2 linked regions of the Xenopus tropicalis genome follow. The protein of the gene in region 2 purifies or fractionates together with the protein of the main gene of each other region. This does not show direct contact. Links are inferred from orthologs where the notes say so. Each region holds a gene or a part of one and is shown on either strand. Other genes may lie near its edges.

Region 1 (3,819 bases), about 50 Mb from region 2:
AGAAGCAGTGACACTAGCACATTAGCCTTTACCGAGTTTGTCTGAGGAAGTGACAATATCTGCTGGCACACAGGAGTCCAGATCTGCATCCAGAATGCCAAGAGGGTCAAGCTGAGCAACATGGTGCCCACGGATCTATATGAATTCAAGGTTCCAAGGACAGGACATGGGAGGGGTTGAAATAGACAGTAGGAACAGTAGGAAGATGATTGGGAGCAGGTGCAGATAAGCATGGAGTGGGAGTTGCAGTCAGATACAGGGGAAGGCAGGTTGGGGGGGGCAGGGGAGGAGAAGAGGCAGAAAGGATGGAAAGGTGGCAAAGCACAGAAAGGGACAGTTGGGTGAAGAGGACACAGAAAGGTAAAGATAACAAGAAGAGGAAAAAGCACAGGAAAAAGAGAAAAAGTTACAACAAGTCTGACAAAATGATTCTCACCCATATTTGGAGATCCGACTATCACCGGAGCCCCATCAAAATTAACAGAACTAATTCCAAGCGGGTCAAGCTTTGCAATGTGATGACCCCTCACCTGGAAGCAATGACAAAACATGTTAAAAAGATGGGCCACACTTCCTCCAGCCCCCCCCCCCCCCCCCCAAACTGTGGTGCCATGAAAATCCCCTGGAAAACCCACTGGTTGCCTTCTTTGTTACAAGCTCCTAGCCATCGGCTGCAGGCTGAGGATGCTGGGAGATGTATTTCACGACAGTTATAAGAAAGTCATATAAGAAAAAGCTACATTGAACTAACCACACCCCTGAGGTGCTAGGCCATGCCCCCTGCTAACTTCTTGTAATCTGCAATGGGATTAGAACAAACGGGAGACTTTAAAGTTGTGACCACTCGGCAAGAGAGGCAATGGCGGATTCCAGCAAGCGAAATGTGCAGCAACTTTACAGACGCTTGGGGGAACAAAACAAAAGTAAAATGCACATTTTTTCCTCTTTTCTGCAATGCAACTATCAATCAAAGACTGAGATACTCAGTGCAAGTGTATAAAGCTGGGCACAATAGGATCCTCTGTACCTGATAAGCACGGATGAGCGACTGCACAGCGAGATGATCCTCCACAAGCTTGTCTATATTAGGTTGGGCCTGCACCAACGACTGGGCCTGGGTAAGGGTGGACAAGCTGCTGCCGAGAGGAGGCGGGCTCTGGTAAGCTGCACCAGGGGATGCGCCAGCATTTGCGTTGCGGAAAAAGATGTCCCATGACTAAAAAGGGAAAAGAAGCAAACGTATGCATTACCACAGTAAATTCTCTTGCTATTTCATCACACAATCGGGCTTGGTATGGATATAAAGGATTTGGCACTCTCATACAGTCAGCAAGGCATTTCCCTTTGGCACTGGAACACAGAGTCCCTGGAGAGAAGGCAACCACGCTATATGTTATGTACACAGCTGTAAGGCCTATATTTGCACTATGGCAGCACCTATTGCACTCCTAACATTCTCCGTTAGGTCCCCATGGCACTGGGGTACACAATGCTGGCATGGAAGCCCCATGAGGAGAGAGAAAGTAAAGAAAAGGCTGCTAGCTAGAGTGCTAGTTTATAGGCCAACCACAAGGTCAGGGGATGGCTGCTATTTTAGGCCTGCCGGGGAGTCATGAGAAGGGTGAGTGGGGGAATGTGAGAGGGTCAGGGTATCTTGTTTGACAGTAATTACAGTCCTGATGGCCAGGAGAGCCAGCAGAGCGGGGCATATTGTAAATTTAATGGGGGTATAGGCTTTCCTCAGGCGGAGCAGGCTGGTTTGTATGTATTAGCCACTGCTCCCACTCATTGTGCCACCGGCTCTGTCAATAATAAAGTGACTTTAAGGCACAAGGGACAGGCTGTCCTCTGCCGGAGTTTGGGATCAGTTCCCATGTCAATTCCTAGGCGCTCCTTTGCAGTCTTTCCATCACACATGACTGCCATTGTTAACTCTTCCTCTACCAGGCTAGGTTGCCACACTGACCCAGGGGGCTTGGTTATAACACAGATCATGTTATGGTATCCCTAGAGTGCAGACAAATGCAAGATAAGAAACCTAATGTGAAATATTAAGCAGAAATACCTCAAAAATATTATTTTGAGAGAGAACTCTGCACCTTAAAAGGTTAAATCACCCAAAGAGAACGGTGGAGGGAAAACACAATGTGCAGTGGTACAGTCCTATCCCAGCAGAGAGGAGTTAATAGCCGTAATGGCCTGTGAGTGAGACGGCATTCCAGCCTCACACTGGAGCCCAGCCAGGTAGAGATGACGTAGGATTAATTCCAGTACAAACCAGCCAGGACTGAGTGACTTCTAACCCTGAGCAGCACCACTGCCGTCTTATGCAAAGGGAAACTATACCCCTCAACATACACGCGGGTGTATTACACCCTCTCTTGAAGAAATATATTTATATATAGTGTGAATAATGTACCCCCTATTAAACAAAAAAAGTTCCATGACCATATAAAAGCATGGGCATGAAGGCAGAGTGCTTTTCTACAGGTCATGAAACTCTGAGGGTATTAGAAGTCCTCAGTGACAGAAATGACATTACTGATTATAATGGATGACATCACTAATGGCTATTTATAAGGATATCATTTACAGCATATCCATGGCTTGTGTATTAATAGAAAAATATTTTTATGAAAAGGCTAACAATGTGCTAGTGGTAAGAGAAATATTTCACAACGTTTTGCCTTAAAACACCCATAGACTCTAATAGCCATGAAAACAAAGTTGTGGTAACTGCAAAGAGAAGCCCATTAACTTCCATGCGTTTTGCGTAATTTTGCAGTTTCACATACTTTTTGGCAAAGCGAAACAGGAAAACTCATCACTAATATTTGCCAGTTCCGTAGCCCCCCTGGCTCATATTATGCACTGTGCTGACACAAGGGCATGCATGCTACGCTATATTAGCCAATGATATGACAGGGGGTGTGTATTTCACCCCCACACCCCTTCCTATTACAGTGCATTATTTCCTGTCAGCTGAAATAATGAGCAGGTGCTATTATCTGGAGCTGCACTGGGTGAGCACAGATGGACAGACCGCAGGACTATGTACAGATCCACAATGACCAACCTACAATTCACTGTAAGAACCACCATCATAAAAAGCCACCTAGCCCACCCCACACATTGTTAATAAGGCTGATCCTTGGGGCCAGTTTAAGAAATGGTGTTGATCAAGTTCTTCTCCTTGTAGCCAGCAATTATGTAATGAAACCAGTTGGGTATATTTATTCCAAGAGCCTGCCACACCTTCTGCTAATGGCTCCTATAGTAGCGCACAACGGCCCAACCCAGGGAACACGCACTTTACTATAGTGAAGCACAGTAGGAGAGTATTTTTAGGCTTACATTCAGCCCAAAGGGCAAGTCAGTGTAACTATTCCAATGCAAATGGCACATCCCGGTGAGCAGGTATTTAAAGATTTTCATGCCTGGACTGTTCCAGCAATGTATATGGGTGAATATACAGGCCCATCAAGTGTTTTAGCCCTTCTTTGAACAGATGCACCTTGCTAGCCGGCTGCAAGCTGGGCACTGGCACAGAGTAACATTAGGCAGGTAATTCTTACCCCAGTACTTGGATACTATCATGAGGAAATACCCCTCTCCCTTAGATCATAAGGCAACAAAAGCTTAGGGAGCTATAAATCTATATTACAAGAAAACTTCACCACCAAGAACCAACAAAATTGGGCACTGAATTCCCAAAACTAAGTTACCACGAAGGGATGATGCCACCATGTGCGTCTCCTTCCCACGGAGAGCCACGGCATAAAGATTTTGGTTGCCAGGACAGAAGGCTCACTCGCCGTT
Region 2 (3,819 bases):
CCCCCTTCCTGATTTCTTATTCTTTTGCATGTTTGTCACACTTAAATGTTTCTGCTCATCAAAAACCGTTAACTATTAGTCAAAGATAACATAATTGAACACAAAATGCAGTTTTTAAATGAAGGTTCACATTATTAAGGGAGAAAAAAAACTCCAAATCTACATGGCCCTGTGTGAAAAAGTGATTGCCCCCCTTGTTAAAAAATAACTTAACTGTGGTTTATCAATTTCAATTTTCAATTTCAATATCAATTTCTGTAGTCACCCCCAGGCCTGATTACTGCCACACCTGTTTCAATCAAGAAATCACTTAAATAGGAGCTACCTGACACAGAGAAGTAGACCAAAAGCACCTCAAAAGCTACACATCATGCCAAGATCCAAAGAAATTCAGGAACAAATGAGAACAAAAGTAATTGAGATCTATCAGTCTGGTAAAGGTTATAAAGCCATTTCTAAAGCTTTGGGACTCCAGCAAACCACAGTGAGAGCCATTATCCACAAATGGCAAAAACATGGAACAGTGGTGAACCTTCCCAGGAGTGGCCGGCCGACCAAAATTACCCCAAGAGCGCAGAGACAACTCATCCGAGAGGCCACAAAAGACCCCAGGACACCATCTAAAGAACTGCTGGCCTCACTTGCCTCAATTAAGGTCAGTGTTCACGACTCCACCATAAGAAAGAGACTGGGCAAAAACGGCCTGCATGGCAGATTCCCAAGGCGCAAACCACTTTTAATCAAAAAGAACATTATGGCTCGTCTCAATTTTGCTAAAAAACATCTCAATGATTGCCAAGACTTTTGGGAAAATACCTTGTGGACCGACGAGACAAAAGTTGAACTTTTTGGAAGGTGCGTGTCCCGTTACATCTGGCGTAAAAGTAACACAGCATTTCAGAAAAAGAACATCATACCAACAGTAAAATATGGTGGTGGTAGTGTGATGGTCTGGGGTTGTTTTGCTGCTTCAGGACCTGGAAGGCTTGCTGTGATAGATGGAACCATGAATTCTACTGTCTGCCAAAAAATCCTGAAGGAGAATGTCTGCCATCTGTTCGTCAACTCAAGCTGAAGCGATCTTGGGTGCTGCAGCAGGACAATGACCCAAAACACACCAGCAAATCCACCTCTGAATGGCTGAAGAAAAACAAAATGAAGACTTTGGAGTGGCCTAGTCAAAGTCCTGACCTGAATCCTATTGAGATGTTGTGGCATGACCTTAAAAAGGCGGTTCATGCTAGAAAACCCTCAAATAAAGCTGAATTACAACAATTCTGCAAAGATGAGTGGGCCAAAATTCCTCCAGAGCGCTGTAAAGGACTCGTTGCAAGTTATCGCAAACGCTTGATTGCAGTTATTGCTGCTAAGGGTGGCCCAACCAGTTATTAGGTTCAGGGGGCAATTACTTTTTCACACAGGGCCATGTAGGTTTGGATTTTTTTTCTCCTTAAATAATAAAAACCCTCATTTAAAAACGGCATTTTGTGTTTACTTGTGTTATCTTTGACTAATAGTTAAATGTGTTTGATGATCAGAAACATTTTGTGTGACAAACATGCAAAAGAATAAGAAATCAGGAAGGGGGCAAATAGTTTTTCACACCACTGTATACTGAGGATTTTTACCATTAAATACAATTTTCTAATTTTAACCAGACAGACTCAACCATCACAAAATGATGCAAATGACCTCAATCAAACTCTTACTTATTGGTAGATGATCTGATCATACATGCCTGCTGCAGTTCGCCAGCTTCTTTACCACATGATTTTGCCCTGCCACATTATAGCACAATGTTATGCTAATAGTATGACTTTATTGGCTAATGACCTAGCCTTTCTCCACATTGTCTTTAAAGGAGAAGGAAAGGCATTTTGGCATTTTATTGCCCAAACATTAGCCACAACAGTGCCACCTAGAACTCTATAATTATTCTACAGAAAGCTTTACCATACATGAATAAACAGCCCTAGAAGCTCTCTCTGTTTAAGATTGCAGCTGCCATTTTAGCTTGGTCTTAGTAGCTTCCCTGCTGCAGCTCTAGCAATGTTCCATAGTTATTTTTGTGTCCCTCAAACTTCTGACATAAGTTTAATCAATAGCAACACTTTATTTACTAATTGTTTTCATGCAAATATAAAAGAAGACATGACTACAGAGCACGGCAATGTTTTTCCTAGTATAGAATATTAGAGAACAAGTTTGTTTCTCTTATTGTTTGGTGTAATAAGTTTGTTAAGGACACCCATTAAAGGAGACGGTAATGTAAAAACTAAGTAGCTTTTACTAGTGCCCTTTCTTTTGATGAGAAAGGGGACTGAATTAGGCCTTCCTGAGGGTCAATCCACCATCACTGCTTACACACCTTATCTCCCTTATGTAGCTGTGCTTGCATCTTGCTGTACTGCTCTATTGACTTGTTGAATTGCTAAAACTTAAATAAAGTTTACCTTAAAAAATCAAACTAAGAAAAAAACAAAGGTAAAAACATTCTGTTAACATTAATTTTTAGAAACTAGGCAGTATATACCAAAAGGACATATGAAAGTAAAGCAAAATAAAACTTATGAACTTACCAATTCAACACCGATGACACCAGCACCAATTACCACCATTTTCTCAGGCACTTGCTTAAGAGACAATGCTCCGGTAGAAGATACAATTGTTTCTTCGTCAATCTAGAACAAAATTAGAACAATCATCTCTCAATAGACAAACAGCACACTCTTAAAGGACAATGAAAGGTTAATATAAATTAAAAGTAAGTCTAAAGACATTATTTTTAAGTACTTACTGCATATCTAAATTCCCAGATCCCTGCTTGCTTCTCTGAGATATGGTGCTGGCAGCCTACAGCAGTGTGAAGACTACAGTGACATCACTGAAATCTCTCTTCCCTTCCTGTAGGCTGCCAGCGGCAGACTTCCTATTCTCTGAGCATGTGTGTAACTTGATCCTGTCTCCGGTTCTGAGCTACACATGCCCACCAGCCAATCAGAAGCGGATCTGACAGAGGGGAGGGGGGGGGGAGGAAATGAAACACGTGCAGTATGAAGCAAGGAGGGAAAGGAAGGGAGAATACCTTTTTAGAGATGGCTGCCTGTTCTAGAAAATGTGAAGTAAGTGTGACTGAGTAAATATTTGATTAGGTGAGCCAAAAGTGTGGCATTTTTACTAAACAATAGGAGGACTATTGGGCAGTATGCTTTTTAAATTTTGACTTGCATTCTCCTTTAATTGTAGTTCTGGAAAAAAAATATTGTACTTTTTACAAACTTCTCTTTGTCTTATAGCTTTTCCAAGGAGAAGCTACAAGGGTAATAAAAAGCAACCAACCCAGTATAGAAGAAGCTGACAGTCAGTATATGTAGCCTACTGCTTTGACAGCTACAGCACTAGGAGCCCCCTTGTGACCAAATGACTGCCATGCCTGTAAAAACCTAAACAAGGCTAATACTGTAGCTTATACTCAAGCTAAGTATGCCTCACTGCCTCTTGTACTTGCTTGTACATGCTTAGCTCTTGGTTAAGAATCAGGGTTAACAAACCACAAATTCAAAAGAGGAGAGAATAGACACATGAGAATAAAGCAAAGTGGTCTAGTTTCTTGAGTCAAGAAATTATAATCAAAGAGTACAATGTAAGATACCGGAATTCCTGAGAAGGGAGCAACCTCTGAGCCTGTTGCAATAAGAATGTTCTTTGTGTTGATGACTTGGGTGCTTCCATCTGCCTTTGTTGCTGTTACTTGATTTTTGCCTGTAATCCTTCCAAATCCTTGAACATGTACTACCTAAGTTAAAAAAGATGTGTTGA

The links.
Region 1: the proteins of dld (region 2) and ogdh purify together in Homo sapiens (affinity purification with mass spectrometry; 3 studies listed by BioGRID and IntAct, counting the BioPlex papers as one, with this or other methods). This does not show direct contact. The link is inferred for Xenopus tropicalis from reciprocal best matches to the Homo sapiens genes DLD and OGDH.

What each region holds. Positions count from the first base shown.
Region 1 is NC_030679.2:126,371,419-126,375,237, forward strand, and holds part of ogdh (2-oxoglutarate dehydrogenase, mitochondrial), read right to left. Parts: intron 1,217-3,819; coding exon 1,028-1,216; intron 531-1,027; coding exon 437-530; intron 136-436; coding exon of another isoform or gene 33-135; intron 1-32. UniProt on the Homo sapiens protein: 2-oxoglutarate dehydrogenase (E1o) component of the 2-oxoglutarate dehydrogenase complex (OGDHC). Participates in the first step, rate limiting for the overall conversion of 2-oxoglutarate to succinyl-CoA and CO(2) catalyzed by the whole OGDHC.
Region 2 is NC_030679.2:76,049,117-76,052,935, forward strand, and holds part of dld (dihydrolipoyl dehydrogenase, mitochondrial), read right to left. Parts: intron 3,797-3,819; coding exon 3,653-3,796; intron 2,682-3,652; coding exon 2,580-2,681; intron 1-2,579. UniProt on the Homo sapiens protein: Lipoamide dehydrogenase is a component of the glycine cleavage system as well as an E3 component of three alpha-ketoacid dehydrogenase complexes (pyruvate-, alpha-ketoglutarate-, and branched-chain amino acid-dehydrogenase complex).